Drosophila melanogaster: one gene and its partner. The protein of the gene in region 2 interacts with the protein of the main gene of each other region in a pairwise test. Each region holds a gene or a part of one and is shown on either strand. Other genes may lie near its edges. The genes, in order: sosie and Karl.

Region 1 (7,928 bases), on a different chromosome or scaffold from region 2:
ATCAGCGAATGGGGGCCAGCGAAAGGCGTTGGCATTACAAAATATCCAGCTTGTTAACATATTGAAAACTGTGCTGCTGCATTAAATCTACACCGAACTATTTATAATCAATGCCGTGCATTTAATCGATTTGGGTTGGATAACCGATCGTTTGGACGGAGACGCAAGTGTAGTTAGAAATGGGAATTTCTATTGGGGGGGGAAGCTAATTGTCCTTGGAATTTAAAATACGAGTAGATTTCATATCCGTAGTAAGTCAGTATCACAGCTTATCTGGCCTGAAATCGATTTCATAAATATTGCAACTATGTAAATATTTCCTTATTCATAATCATAAGGGGTATGTTTATTGTCTAATACATGCCTTGCCTTAGGAGTGCGTACGTTCCAGTTCACTGGATCCAATTTTCGTCTGGCTTATCTGCATATAACTAGCAATTAAAGAAATTAAGGTAAAAGCAATCATTACCAAATATTAATTTCAGATTTTTTTCCTGATTTCAATGAGTCCGATATAATGAAAATGTAGCTTCAGTCTCACTTGATATCCGAATGAATTGAAATGTGCTTAGAAAAATACTTTTGCTTCGTGCTTCTATTGCATTTCATCATGATAAACCAGGTCAGAGGTTATAAACAAATTAATAGGCAATATACAATAGCTTTCACTAAAACACAGATTTATTCTCATATCGAGTTCACGAACTTCAAGTGCACATCCATGGCTAAGGACGTGGCCGATATCGAATACTGTTTTCTAAAATCAGTTAATCGAACTTATCAATACCTCTCCACCCGGATTAAGGTATTAAAATTACTGAACAGCCTAAAGGTTAGTTAAGCAAGTTTAGTTGTTTAGCAATCTATTGAGTAAAATTATTATATTTCAGGTGAATTTTGGATTGCACCAGCAGATCAATGGGTATAAGCCCTTCCTATACAACATCACTATTGACGGTTGCCAATTCATGAAGAACACAAAGTCCAATGTAGTCGCCAAATACTTTTACGATTTTATAAGGAATATCAGCAACTTGAATCATTCCTGTCCGTACAACGTAAGAAAGATCGTGTTCCCTATTCCAACTAATCATTCCCACGTTTTTTAGCACGACATTATAATGGAGAAACTTACCTCTGAGACTATTAATTCCCGACTACCAAAAACTCTGCCCTTTCCCACAGGAAACTACATGTTTCAGACCTATTGGATTGCCAATGAAAAGTACCGTGTGGTAACCAAGATATATTTCTGTCATTATTGATGGAAAAGTACTATTCGTTTGGGTTTTTAAAGGTTTTTATTAAATAGTATAGATAACAGCTACGAAGAAAACGGTTTTAATGGGTGAAATTCTTATCTGGACCTGCAACTTGGACATGAAAATATTATTAACTTTTATCGTCTCCCATATTTTATTATTATTATTATTATTATTATTCCATTCGATTATGGGCTGTGAGCTCGTAAAGCTATTTATATTGAATACATACAAAAATTAAAAATGTTTCACATTTGTAATTGCGATGTAAGCGATCTGAATTCACAGTGCTGCTGAAAAGTTGCCTATCACTAGATAATTTCTCTCGATTTTTAGTGATTATTCCTGGACACACACGTACACTCATATAAAATTACAATAAAATGGTGCCTAACATTTGATCTAAAGTTACTTCGGTCTGTCTAGTGTAGGGAGTACGGACTAAGTTCGATTGGGGATCTATGGAAAACGTTTATCAGATAATATAATTATGTATATTGTATATAACGCAACTTTTCGTGAGAAGCGAATAAACTTGACGGTGGTACATATGAAACTTATACAATAGAACGACTTTTAGGCTAATGGCGACGAGTATCTAACTTTCTTAATTTCATTTCCACGTATTTTCTCTTATTTTTTTCGCTTTTCAAGATTTACTTTTCGTATTTTTTTATATGTGAGGGGTTAGTGGTAGGGGTAGGATGATCTTTTGTTTCTGTTGGTTTCACTGAGGCACATTTGATGGATCACTGGGGTAGATAAACGCCAAACTACGTCTTCCGGTTCCGCTTTCGACGATCGCCTTCTAGAAATGCTTTCGCATGTGGGCGGATACCAAAAAGGGCGCCAGAAGTGAGCAGATCGAGACCAAGAAGCTGACCAGGCCCTGAAGATTAGCTGAAAGGCAAAGAAGATGGATTAGGAACCATGATACATCCTATTTTTGTGTGTACTATATTTGTAATACTATGACAATAGTTATAATAGTTATGGAATGTATTGGATGAGAAACCTCTCACCTCCACTGCAGATGTCGTGCAGGATGTCCTCCACATATCCGTTGTCGTTGTCGCAGAGACACAGCTTGGTCTTGCTGGACATGAACTTGGCCACTCCGATGGTGCGGTTGCTGTTCTCGTACTGGCACACCATTCCATCCTCGCAGTCGTTGTTGCTGTTGCACTTGTGACGCAGGCCTGCAAAATGCGCAAATATTATTAAGATATTAGCATACCGCCAGTGGAATTAGCTATACTCCATGCTTATAACTAAATTTAAACCGACTCAATACACCGGTATCATTTAGCAGCCATTTTATTATAATAACGCTATTATGCAGACCTATAATAGTCTGGAAATTCTATACTCTGGTGTATTACAATGTATCCCCGCCAGAAAGTAGATCTCCAACACGGAGAACAACTCCCAATGCCAAAAACTGGGGAAACGTGCATGCAAAAATCGCGTATAACATTTCTTCTGGGCTGTGCATGTCACAAATTGGCACTGCGGCGATTCCCATTACCATTTGCCTCTCGTTTGGGGCCTCGTTTGAGTTGCCCCATCGGAGGAGTCACGACATCCTAACATAAATCCGACATCGACATTGCGCCGCCATAAAGCGGTCCACCTCTGGCCCCGCCAAGAACTGGAGTGGAGCTGGAGGAGGGCTGGAGAACTGGGAAACTAGAGGACCCAAGACCAAAGGACCAAAGAACCAAGGGACTGTAGGGCCAACAATGGCGGGCACATGACCCAAGGATGCCGAGAAGGCAAGTGTGAATCGCGCACGGAAAACTAAATAAATAAGCAGGCAAATAGCGAAGAAAGGTGAAAGTGGGCTTTGGGGGTGGCCATTCTGGAAGGATGCTTCTTTGTTTAATTCTCATTTAGGTGGCGCCTTGGACGCATCACCTCACATGCCACTTGAGGCACTGGCTCATCACGGAGGAGGCCTCCAAGAAAGCAGCGGCCTCTTAAATAATAAATGTAATGTGCATGTCTTAGCAATTAGCTGACTTTTTGTTGGCTGTTCTATTTCGGGAAACGAGCTAAAGGATTCTGCAAAGGCGGGCGGTCAAAGGAGCGGAGATACAGAACATTATGATTAATATTTAACATCAATGATTTTTTAATTTTTTTAACATAAATAAATAGTAACTAACTGACTAGTAACTAAAGCATATCAGCCGCGAAAAATTTATTTTTAGGAATGCTGTTTAAGTGTCAGTGGTTTCTCTAGATTACAACTTGTATATTTATATCCTTGGGGAATATGGGTAAGTACTTTTCTATATAGGTGATACATTACCTTTCAGGACATCTGGACAGCTGCCAGCCGAAGGAGGCGAGTCGTCGCCGCATAGGCAACGCAGCTTGTAGTCATTGGGATCCTTGACGCAGCTGGTGCGATCTATCGCCGTGCAATCATCGTGGGCACTGCACTCTCGTCCTTTAACTGCAATTAATGATAGGAATCCAAGTTAAAAAAGGACACTTAACTAGCCAGTTTGCCTAGCTAATTGCCCACTAATTGTGTGATTATTTGGGTACCAACTTGAGCCAACACAAATCACCGCTTGTCCGCCTATCTATATCTACTCTATCCGTTTCGGTTTACCAACTCCAATCACAGGGATATTACCGCCCCCGCTCCTAATGTCAGGGATTCGTGGAGCGTGGGTTGTCATTGCACTTGAGTGACTTGTTTGATCAATTCTCGATTCGATTTGTGTTAGCAATGTTCTGTGTTCTGTGTCGTGTCGTTCAATCTGTGCTGGCTCTGTGCCATAATTATTATTCCATTTATTTATGAGCGACTACCAAGTCAATCGAATGACAAATGATTGGATCAGACAAACTGGATGGTTGGCTATTTGTTTGGCTAACGACCAGGTGTCTTAATTAGCGGTTAATCGAACTTAAGTGATGTGGGGCTTTATCGGGAAGGTCTAAGACAACGTATATATCACATTATAATGAGAGTCAAGTTAAGTGCATTAAAATAGTTAACTTCTAACTCAAAATCAGTTTTTTAAAACAGAAGTTAATGTATCTCTTTGTTTGGTATTTTTCTTAAAGAATAATCTTATATGAATATTGTTATAGTAATAGTAGTCATATTCACTTATCGGCTAATGCTGGAGTACGAGTTATAGCAAAATTACTGCACGATTACTTTTAAACTCGAACCACTTTTAATCCCTCGCCCAATCTTGACAAGAAACTCCTCTTGACCTTGCCAGCGACTTTGATGGGCCTTTTCGTTACCAACCCCGGGGGTTCTCTTACCAATTGGGACGTGCGTGGGAGGCGGCTGATTGTTGGTCTTGCCAAAAGTGGTCAGAGCCGTGGAGCTGACCCCGAAGAGGATGATGAAGATGCCGAAGAGCATGGTCAGACTGCCGCATTGTGTGAAGCGCTTCAGGGGCTGCATTTTGGAATCGGTAACTAATCGAGTTTTGAGTCGAGACCAGGACTTGAAGAAGTCGGAAAGAAGTCCTTTTTCGGGTCTTATATAAATTCCACAGGACCGCAACGGGTTGCACACGCACTTTGCGAGCTTGAAAAACGGCCCAAAGGCTTTAAATTGGTTTACTTAACGCTTTTTTCGTTTCTATGTCGGTTTCGCGGGCACAATTTTATGCAAATTTTCACACCGAAATCGTTTCCGCTCCGCCAGAAAGTCCGAAGCAAAACAAAACCGCACGAGAGGCGTCACTCCAAAAAATCTCCAATACTTTGGGGCACTCGCTATAGTCGCAACTTCCACTTGGGGTCTTCGGACGGGTAGCTCCAACCAGTCGCCTGCGCGCTCGAAATGCAAGTGAAGAATTCGCGGCGCACACGGACCTTAAGTTGCTGCGATGTCGCTGCTGGTGGCTACTTGGCGCTCGCGCACACCGGCGCCACCTTCCACCTCCCACCTGCCACCATCTGCTACCCATCTGAGTGCTCCTCGCCAGCTAGCCACCCACCGCCCCCGCAGTCCGCTCACCTGCTCAGCCAGGCATAGAACCCCTTTGCCACATTGGCGGCGAATGATAGTCGTCTTCCAGATACCCTTATATCATACTTAAGTTCCCACTCAGCAAATCTTCTTTAATACTTTGTATAATAACAATACATAATATACTTGTATTTATTTTAGTAAATTGGAAGTTGAGATACCATATAGTTATGTACTTATGTTACATGTGTAATTTTAACAGAAGTCTATACTCTACAATTGGAAGTGAAGTTCTGGTTTGTTAAAAACAACAGCTTCATATTTCATTCTTAAAAAAATAACTCATAATATATATGGTAAAATATATACAACTGAATATCAAGTTAAACAATACAGGTTTTTATGCGTTATGGGAAACGATTCTGCTGACGCACACAAAAATTGGCAGCAATGAGCTTCCCACAAAATGATAAAACATTAATTTTAGATGTAGGCAACCAAGTATACATACGTCCAACCAATTGCGGCTGAGTAGAAATGAATTCACGCATTCCGGGACATTCCATAAAATCGGATTCCAGAAGGACAGACACCCGCATGCATAATTAAGAGATCCCCCAAGTGGGCAAAGGGTATTCCACCTAACCAATGTTTCGCTGACAAGAAGCTAGATAGCATGGAATCTCCGGGCAGATTTCGAAACTTTCGCAGGCAGTATGGGATTAGTTTTGGGCCGTATGCTATATGGTATATGCTATATGGTGTATGGAAAGTGAGCTGCGACGCACTTGTAACTGTTTCGCTGCTTTTGTGTATTTCGTGAGCGAGTTTTGTTAACGAAGATGGATTTTTGTAGCTGCCTCACCTTCGTGCACCTGTTTTTATTGTAGCCGCTGGCGGTGGCGACCTCGTCCTTTTCTCCTCGTCCTCGTCTTGGGTGTGTGTGTGTGGCAGTGGGTGTGTGTGTGGGAACTATAATAATGACGAAGGCATTAGAGGCATACGACCATTGCATAGCCTACTTTTTGGGGCCCACGGAGTTGAGCAACAGCCACAACAACAATAAAGTGTAACATTAGCACGCACCAGGCGAAACAACAACAGAAACTGGTTAGTCAAAGGCAAATAGTTATTTTGGCCATTATTCTTTGCTCGCTCCCTAATTTCTCCTGCCGTTGTTTATGATTATTTTTTCCCCCTTTTTTTACTTTTGGGCGCTGCATGGCCCTAATTACATTTGCTAAATTGCCCAGATGAGAGTGGCTTGCTTGTTGCTTTCAACTTTTAACTTTTTTAACTTTCAGCTGCAGAATGCAGCTAAGCTGTCCAAAAAAGAAAGGTGACTGGCCACGCCCCTTTAGCCCAATTTGGCAAGGCACCATTTAGGCGGATATCGAACAGGCAGAAACGGATGCCCAACTTTTGGCCATGTCTGCTTCAATCGTCTAAATATACGAAGCTCCACTTTTCAAACTGAGCCAATAATTTACACCCACCCATTCGAAGAGGAACACTTTGAGGTCAGTTGGGACATGAAGAACTCGCCCAATTTGCCAAACACAAATTCCTTTGCACTTCATGTACTTTCGACCCTCTTCCGACTCCGATTGTGGAAAATGTCAGGCTATATGGGTCCTGGTGCTCCTTATCTGCCTTCTCGATCGCCTTATAAACGATTGCTTTAATCGCTGCGACAGCATAAACAATTTTCTCCAACTAAATGCGAATTTATATCGCACACGCACAGCGAACGGAAAGGAAGTCCAGAAAATATATTCACGAAAATCGGTGGATATAACTAAATGGGACACGAATCTGGTCGGGTTCAAGGACCGTGGAAAGCATTAAGCCAATTTTGGAAAATATATTTCAGATATCCTAATATCTCTGTTTGCTTAACTTATATTAGAAAATTTTTATGATTTTCTTCAAAAATTGTAAAAGGTAAAAAAATTATTTTGAGCGATATTGAAGAGATTTATAAGACACGTGGGTCATTTTAAAGAATTGGATGTACTTAAAATTATTTAAATAAGTTAAAAGGCACTAATTATATTGGATTTCGTAATTGTTTTTCTAGATTTGCCGACTTGACAATGATTTATTCCATAGTACTTTCTCCATTTACGCAAATCCCGCCGCACCGCGTCATTCGGAATGGAAAATATTTATATTTACATGTAAAAATAAGTTCCTTTAATTATTATTCAGCCAGTCCAGTCCATTCAATTCGCCATGCGGCAGAGTCTGAAATTTATTTCGGATATTTATTTCTTGACATTATTGATAAATGTTGCCGGGCACAGCAGAGAAACGGAAAACAAGCAGGAAAATTATATGGAAAACTCACGAAATCTTTTCGCCAAATCAGAAACTGCAGCGAATCGTAGGCGCCGCCAGTGGGTTTTCCCCCTCCCCTCTCCAAGGAAAATGCGAAAGACCACCGTAATTAAAGAACTAATTCGCTTTCAACAATTTGGGCGTCATGTTTTTGCTCTTAACTGATGATTAATTAGTGCGACTGTAGAATTTCTACCAGCGATATATAATTTTCTCACGAAATCTCATCGAGCTGTACACTCATGCCCAGAGGTCATCATATTACTGCTGATTATAACTCAGAGTGCGGAGCATTAGGCCCTCGAAAAAATGCCAATTTAAGGGACTTAATTCCACATTATGGCCACGTCTAATTGCGGCTACACACACACACT
Region 2 (8,783 bases):
TAAACTTACCCGGTTCCAAGTCCAAGATCATGTCCAACGCTTGCCGATAGTTGGGTACCTGCTCATTTAAACCAGTTAAATTGAATTTATCCTGTATGTAGTCCTCATCCACCTGGAATCAAAAGCGTATGCAATTAGGATCTGTACTGGAATATACTGTCATATATCCACTATATCGTGTGTTATCTGGACATGTGTGTACAGTTGGGCTCGGTATTGCCCCACCTTGCGGCACACACGCACACACACACACACACACGCGCGCGCAAAGGCAGAGATTGAGGGCTGCACTTTGCAATTGTTGCACTTATAGCGCGCGCTTAGATAACGCGATTACAGCGAAGAACGCGGGTAATTCGTCGTTGATGCTGATATGATGATGATATCTCACCTCGCAGAAGAACTCATTGCCACGAAGTCCACAGAACCAGGTGACCCAGGAGACTTCCTCGGAGCTGCTCATTTTGCTGCAAAGATAAGCGAATGGAGTTGCTAATTCATATTTTCATCGTTTTTTTTTTGCTGACAAATTATCCTGCACACGCATACCACACATGCACACCGCACTCTCACACACACAGGCAATCATGGCACACACACTGGGACAAACGCTCACGCACTATTACATACATTAAGGGGATTATTTTGCGTAATTTGGGCTGGCGTGCGAAATTTATTGTTAAAATATCTTGGAACGGAATCTTGGCACTTTCTTGTCTACCCCACCCCCCCTGCTTTCTTCACGTTTCCTTTTGGTTCCGCTTCTTGTTGCTCGCACAAACCACACTCTCTTTTTCCGCTTTTTTCTTCTTTCCTCCTCTTTTTTTTTGGTTGGATTGGCCTTTTGGGGTTTTTGTTTTCGGTTTTCCGTTTAATTCGCGTTGCTTGTACAATGTTACTAGTTTTCGGTGATCGCACCGTTGAAATTCGTGTGGTCGGGGGGCATAAAAATAAATTTTTATACTCGTATTGTGACAATTGACAAGCGCTCATACAAAATGTGCCGAGCAGCAAGAAGAAGCACACACTGTTGGAAATTGAGAAAAAAAGAGACACATATACAGGGGCCACCACACGCACACAAGCAAACACGCACACCGCGAAGCGCACATAGGGACGTGCACACACGCACGCCTTTACACCGATGAGCGCAATCCAACGCACACCAACTTGCTATTCTGTATTTTTCCCGCTGCGGCTATCTTCCAGTGGCCAGCACTCACCCAAATTGTTAATAATTACTCAAATTGATCGACTTTTGTACTGCAGCTGAACCGGTAAAGGCAAATATTGTAGCGAAGACGATGATATCAGGTATGCAATCTCGACTATCGATTACCGCTGTCCTGCGCTGTCCGCAGGCGATTGCCAATCGATGTGGCGCCGTGTCATCGCTAAGCGATGTATCGGCTAATCGGGATTGCGCGTTTCGCAACACTGGTTCGGAAAAGCAATTAACCAAACAAAACGCGGAATTATTTGTTAAATAAGCAAATCAAGCCAAATATTAAAATATTGTTTATTACCAGCATTTAGTTGGCTGTTTTGCCATTTGTCAAATAATTTACCGATTGCAGCTAGCAATATTTTCTTACAACTACTTTAAGGTATTATTTCGTTTAGTTGTATGGTAACACTATGTTGAAAGTTTGAAATGTTTGAAAGTGCTTATTTAAATTTGTATTATTGACAAAATAAATCGGGTTTTCGTATAATATTTTCTCTTAGTTGATTGATTAGACTAATAATACAAGAACGAGCGATAAACCCACTGCATGCATTTTAAGCGCAATCGCTCGAAAGATGTCAGAGTGAGAGCGAAGCGAGTTGCGAGCTTAAGCGAAAAAGCGAGAGCAAGGCCTTATCGCTTCAACTCGCTCAGGGCGTACGATTGTTTTGTTATATTCTGCGCTATATTACCGTTTATTTTCAAAACACACGTTATTTTGTTTTGTCTTGTTCCATTCTGTAAATAACCTTTTATATAAATTATTGAATTCGCCTTTTTCATTTCTATTTCAGTTAAGAGGGTGGACGACAGTTTTAACAGAAAGTTAATAGTTGCGCTTGATGCAAAAAATTCCTCGTCCGAATCCATCACGTTCACATTAATAACTAAAAGAGAGCAATGTAGCTCGTTTCTCGCTTAGCTCTTACTCTGCCATCGACTCGCTTTGCTCACAGCTTCTCGCTTTGCTCATAGCTTCTCGCTTCGCTACTAGCGCGCACTCTGCCGTCAGGCTTATTGATAATTTTGAAGATTTCCTTGGCTCTCTTGCGTCCATTCACAACATAGGCCAGTGGATCGTCGCGACTAGATTCCATTAGATTGTCGCACGATTCCTGCCCGATGTTAAACATAAAGGATGTGTCGATATCCTGCGGCAACTTGCCGCGCAGAAAGCTGATCTCGTTGTCGGCCAACGATGTTTTCCGCGACAAAAGCAGGGCGGACAGGTAACGTGGTTGCTTCTTCTTCTCGGCGCAGTGCATCACCAGGCCCCAGGTGTCGTAGTCCGTGTCCAGAACGTATGTGTTGTAGATGCCCTCATCTGCAAGGAGGTACATATAGAAACGAAAATACTGCTTAAAACATATATTAAACCCGGGCAGATCGAATTACTCTTTGGCATAGTAATTACCAAACTACTTCAAACGTATCACAACTACATTTTGAATAGATTTTCGTTTTGAATTTGATTGTAGAAACATTTCCATCACTCACATATGTCCTCCGTGTGCTGCCAATGTCCTGGCTCTTGGAATTTGGGTATCATCCAGGTGATGTTGCCCACGAGCTTCTCGCGCAGCGGATCCTCCGCAAATATGTAGCTAAAGTTCATCGTTATCTAATTTAAATTGAGGTATTGAGGTATAATTTGTAATAGGGATAAAGGTCCTTGCTGCCACTCACATGCTGATCCTCTTTGGAAAAGGAAAAGTGACTGCGCATGCACGCGTACTCCGGAAGTTCCTCTGTGGATGCGTAATACTGAACCACGTGCCAACAGCCCATCATGCGCTCCAAATCGAAGTTCTTAATGGCTCCCACCTAAACGGAAAATTAGTTCCATAATAAGTTAGATATGTAAGTAATTTAGAGGAGGTCTTTATAATGTTGTATAATATAATATATAATGTAATCTATAATGATAAAGATCTATTATACTTTATGATAGGAGTTTTTTTCTATTACCTATATATATATACATTAGACAGCGAGGGTTTCTGGTTAAGATTCACATACATATCTTATATTTATAATAACTCTTGAGACAGTCGTGCTTTTTAATGGGTATTTAAAAACCCTGGTGTACGATCATTATTATGATATTTGAGAGGTCAGGGCTGCTAATAAATATGCCCAATAAACGTTAAGACCACAAATGCATCTTGGCTATAATCCCAATTCAACTTAGCTAGCTGCATGTGTGTATTTACATTGTTTGCCCTGGCGACCACAAAACAAAACAAACTTCGGTTGGTGAAAGAGTCGAAGAAGCGACAGACGACGAAAGCCGTTAGCGCTGTCACCGTGATTGACTACTGACAGTTCATTGAGAAGTCAGTATGGCCGTCCCTCTCTCTGCACCGCTGTTGCCGTCTCTTTCGCTGTTTTGCAAGTCGCGACGCGCAGACACGAGATGCAGACGCAAGACAGCCTCTGATTGATGCGCCTCAAAAGCGCATTGCACCGCATGTGCCCCCCCCCCCCCCCTTATCCCCTTTTCACTGCACCCCCTCTTTCGGCACTGTCTTCCCGCCATCTCTTTCTTCGGGTCTCTACGTGCGTGTCTTTTGTCTATTATTGCTGATTGTTTTCTGACTTTTGGCTCGCTTTTCGGTGTTTGTATTCGTAGCAGTATTTGTCGAACTGCACCTGCATCAAAGTGCAATTGTCGCCGCCAACGGAGATGCAGACGATGAAGAGAGGGGAGTGAGAAGAAAGGGGACGGGCAGAGAAGAGAAGAGAAGACAAGACAAGACTCAGACGACGTCTGAGCCACTTAGAAAGTGTGATTGATTTTGGCATCGGTGTGAGCCCATTTCTTCTGCCTGGCTCTTTCTGCGCTCGCTTTATGTCCCATTCATTCTATTCGCTAGAGATGGAACGTTCCCGTCAATCGTTGGATGATTTCCAGTGGGGCAGGACACAGGAAAGTCTATTATAAGACCCATAGTACTATTATAACCGAATATTATACTATCTTTGAGGTTAGAATTCATAGCTATTGCCACAGAGTCGTTTGATTTAAGGAAGTTCGACTGTAGGCGCTATTTTTTTTTTTGTACCAGCTAACTAGATGGTGCCATCACTAGCGACTTGAAATGTGTCACAGTGCGCCCGGCATATTGATGAGCCTTTGAGTTTGACTCGCTTTTGGGCTTGGATTTGAGATGCTTTCCTCCTCCGGCGGCTGTGCTTAGAATGAAATCGAATCGAAGCGTTGCCAAAGAAAGTGATCCAGTTAGAAGAGGCCGGGGACGTGACCAGGGACGGGAACCTGTACATCCAAAACTGCACCTGCGTCCGACTATCTAATGGATTGCCTCGACTGTCTGCCGTTCTATTCGCTTAGCCAAATTCATCGCCCGAAGGTGACCTTAATATCTGGTTGGTTGGTTTGAAACAAGTGTTGTTATTTTCTCTAAGTCATAATTTGAATTTCATAAGGGGCTTTTTACTCAGCAAGATTACATCTCTATCAAGAGTCTGAGTCATAGTATGAACCACATATATGTATATTTATGCTCTACAATGTTTAGTTGACCTTGATAGGAGGGGCTAGTGGGTGATGTACTTACCTTGGGACACCGATTGCTGGGACCTGAGCGCCTCCTGGTTTGATAGGCATTGCTATTGTGTCGTGTCCACAGGTTGGCACCCACTGGTGCAAGCAAAACATCCAGGATAATTATGAGGACGGCGGTCAGTAGGAGCGATCCATTCCTGCCCATGATCCTCTCCATTAATCCGGATGACGGTGAGCTACAATTATTTATTGTCGTTGATCTTCCGGCGGGTTCAGACGCTCGATCTCCGTTGCGCTGTAGCTGGAACTGTTTTCGATGGCACTGCGCCATCTCCGCGAGCAACATGCGACATTAGCAGTCAGCAATAAGTACACTCTAAAAAATCTTGGCACACAGTGGTGCAATAACTTTAGTTTTGGAAGTCTTGGAGATCTCAGTAAGTGCCATCACACTATTTAAGTGTCTTAATCTAGGGTTCTAAAGTATTCCTTGATCTTAAAATTATTTTTACTATTAAATATTGAGAGTTGTTTCTTCGAGTGCACAACAAATCGGAACGCAACGGATTCGGATGTTTTTGCGGATAAGGCGCCTTCTTATTGCCACAGAATTCTATGGGAATAGCTGTGGCTGGGTCATTATCGGGTAGCTGGAAATAAATGACATTACTGAGCACTTGGCTCGATTTTAGCCATATATAGGAGTGGATTTGAGCGGGAAAAAGTAGCAGTTGTCGTGACATTTAATTACAATATAACCAATTAAATTATTTAAATAAAAAGTATACAATTTCAGAACCAAGATATGTTTTCCTACACCTTTCCATTACTTCCTGTAATCGCTAGCACCGAAAGATTAGCGGTTTTCCAAGGCGATGCCATCTCTTTTCAGCAGTTTAATATTGGAACTTAATCAGCCGCCGTTCCATTTCCCCTTGCTCTCAAGAGCGCGGGTGAGTTAGTCGCTCTTATCAATTATAACGTCCGTTTGCCAGTAAAGTCCAGTCAACGCCTTCCAATGCGCACATACCTATGTATGTAAGCATATACATACACATATTTGCAGGCTTGTATGGAAATATATAGAGTCTGGGGAACGGGAGTAGGTATTTTTGGCTGCATCTTGTTTTCACTTGTCGCATGGATGCAGATTTCCAGATTTCCAGGCAACTTTCTCGCCGCGGAGAGCGAAATTTTCGGGGTGGCGAAGTGGATGCGGAAAAGAGCGGGTGAGAGCGGGGAGCGTTGAGCGGTGGTGAGTGGAAACAGGAAACATTTTAATAGCCTGCAAATTTATTCTTTACGATCGCCAGAACGAACAGCGCGATCCGCTGGACACTTTCTCTTTATTGCGAAACGAGTTGCGCGGCATTTTCACGACCGGACTGGAATGAAACTGGACATCCTCGAAGGTTGCTACTTTTGCCGCCGCCGCCGCCGCTTCTTCTTCCGCCTGCGTCTGCAGTTTAGCTTCTTTTTAGCTTCGTCTTTTTTTTTTTGCTTTTTTCTCCCATTTCTTTTGGAGCCGTCTGGTTTTTTGTTGGCCAGCCCAAAAAAGCGGCGCAACTTTCGTCGCCGCATTGCGTTGCGATGCGTTAGCGGCCAGTTCCGGCTTCTACGGCAGCTCCTTCCTTGCCCCTTCCATCGCCTTTCTCCCACCATTCGCCACCCCCCTCTTCTCAGCACCACCTTCCGCCCCTTCGCAGACGCACCGAAGCGAAAAGCGGCTCTTAATGCGGCAGCGAGACGAAATGAAACGAACTAAAGCAACAAGTGCGCAATCGAAGAAATGTCGCCTGCTCCTTTCGCTCTCTAGCTCTCTCTATTTTCCACTCTCTCTGCACGCTTTTTCTCTCTCTCAAAATGGAGCTTGTGCGTGTGTGTGTGTGCCGGGATGAATGAAAACCAAGATCAAGGGCGGATGAAGGACAGGATCAGCGGGGAGGAAGATAGCGAAACCGAATAAGTAGGCCAACATTCCGAAAGTCCTTAACCCATATGTGGGCGAACATTTTGAAGCCTATTCAACTAAATAGGATATCATGAATATATTTAAATATACTTTCCAATTCGAATAATTTATTTTAAGCTATAATAAGCTACGTTAAAATAGTTAAAGGTTTATTAAAATGCTATAGAACTATTTGGGTATTCTTAAGTTCAGCTAAAGATATTTATTTTGAAATACCAAATCAGAAAGTGAGCTGGCTTAAACATTGTGAATTTAAATAAACCCTTCGTTTAATGTAATATTTTAAGCAATAGCACTTAAGTAATCGCCAGTTTCTCGCAGTGTTCTCATCCGGCTACCCATTGCGTTTTCTCAATGAACGACTCTGGCTGAGATCTTTTGGCCACGCCAGGCGATCATCCATCCATCCAAATGAAATGGCCACATAAATGGGGGTCTGTAGCCGGAATCGGAATGCCTCACTCACTGGGAGTGCCACACCCGAATCCGACTTCGAATTCGAGCTGCCATCCAAAAACTGAATGGGGCAACAGGTGGGGCAACTGAAAACTGAAATCTTTGCAGCCGGAATCGGAATCCACAGGTGAGCTTGAGCTGGAGCTTGAGCTACAGGTGACAGTCGACGGAATGTCTGGTGCGGTGCGGTGCGGTGTGGAATGTCAAACGTTTATTTGCCGGTAATTAAATTTGAAAATGATTTAAATTTCACCAGCGAATATTCCAAATTGGTCTTAACACTTTCTTTCGCAGCATCGCTGCGTTTGGTGTCTCTTTTTTTTTTTTGTTTTTTGTTGCCAATTGCCCACCCGCAACCCATCTAGCTGAGCCCCCTTCCCCCTCTTTTCGATGCTCCACCCATGGGCATATCCATGGGAGCAATCCGGCTGATTGGAGATTTGTTTTCTATTTGCAATTGATCGATGCTCGCCTGCCAAGCAATTCGCAACAACAGCCGCATAAAATGGCAAAAATAAAACGCAACAACAAATTGGTGGAATAAAAAAAAAAAAACAGAAAAGTTAGCGCAGAAATTGAGCTGGACGTTGTTGGATGGTGTCCACGTCCGGTGGGTTCGTTAATGGCATACCGAACTTGGGATCAGACCGATGGATTATGGTAGCAACTTTCAGCTGCCAAGACAATCGACCTTCTTGATTAGCGATAGGCAAATTTCTCGTTTTATTGCAAATATATATATGTACATATATATATTTTACATGGCCATTACTTTGAAGTTGAAGATTTCTACTAGTTGTGGTCACTTTACGTCTTAAAAGTAGCTTGGCAAGCTCATAAAGTTCACAAATATGGAAAACAAAAAAAAAAAAACAAAAATAAGATGGTTTAGATACACTAATTAATCTTATCTTAAACTTAAAACTTAACATTAATATATCCTACTAATTTCATTTTCATTTGTTTTGAATATGATATTTAAGCATATTTCCTCAATATTCCACTAAAATCTTGCAATTAGTTACAACTTGAACCCATTCGCGCAACTAAGCCAAGTTATTAAGATCTTGGGCCTTTGCAAGTAAATCAACTTTTACCCACTCGCGTCACTCGGCGCATGATTCTGGAGTGCAGTGGTGTCCATCAGCTGCTCCTCCACCAGATCTCGAGTGCGTGCGGCTGGGAAAGCGTGTGGGATTACTTGGAGTGCCACACTTGCTGCCACATGATACACCGTAGATCATGGCTAGTTTTCGCTGGCCGCTGGCTCAATTATGCAGAGACACAAGCTCGTAAATGCTGGAAAAACCGCGGTGAGGGGAATTTGGGTGGGGATTGGGGTCTTGGGGTCTGTGCGTGCCCTTCCCATGGCCACCATTCATCATCCGTCGTCCAAGATCGGCCGAAAAAGAAAGAAAAAAAAAAAACATAGCCCATCAAGTGGGTTCCGTTTTGTTTGCGCATGCGCGTCGCATTCAGCATCGATATTTCACGATCGTCGGTCTGCGGCTCAGACACTCGCATTTTTTTTTCATTTTTTTTTTTTTTTTACTATTTTTATGGCGATGGAGTAGAAAAATAAAAACAAAATGGGAAATATG

Evidence for each region.
Region 1: the proteins of Karl (region 2) and sosie interact in a two-hybrid assay, tested with the Drosophila melanogaster proteins (one large-scale study listed by BioGRID).

The regions. Positions count from the first base shown.
Region 1 is NT_033777.3:24,833,846-24,841,773, reverse strand, and holds sosie (sosie), read right to left. Parts: upstream 5,094-7,928; 5' UTR 4,702-5,093; coding exon 4,557-4,701; intron 3,724-4,556; coding exon 3,577-3,723; intron 2,462-3,576; coding exon 2,285-2,461; intron 2,163-2,284; coding exon 2,071-2,162; 3' UTR 1,286-2,070; downstream 1-1,285. Other genes in the region: CG33658 (uncharacterized protein), read left to right, coding at 611-832, 891-1,058, 1,110-1,265.
Region 2 is NC_004354.4:11,785,127-11,793,909, reverse strand, and holds Karl (karl), read right to left. Parts: upstream 6,530-8,783; 5' UTR 5,574-6,529; intron 5,423-5,573; exon of another isoform or gene 5,140-5,422; 5' UTR 4,972-5,139; coding exon 4,807-4,971; intron 3,115-4,806; exon of another isoform or gene 3,053-3,114; coding exon 2,915-3,052; exon of another isoform or gene 2,889-2,914; intron 2,850-2,888; coding exon 2,726-2,849; exon of another isoform or gene 2,707-2,725; intron 2,563-2,706; exon of another isoform or gene 2,553-2,562; coding exon 2,179-2,552; 3' UTR 1,657-2,178; downstream 1-1,656. Other genes in the region: CkIIbeta (casein kinase II beta subunit), read right to left, coding at 10-112, 392-463.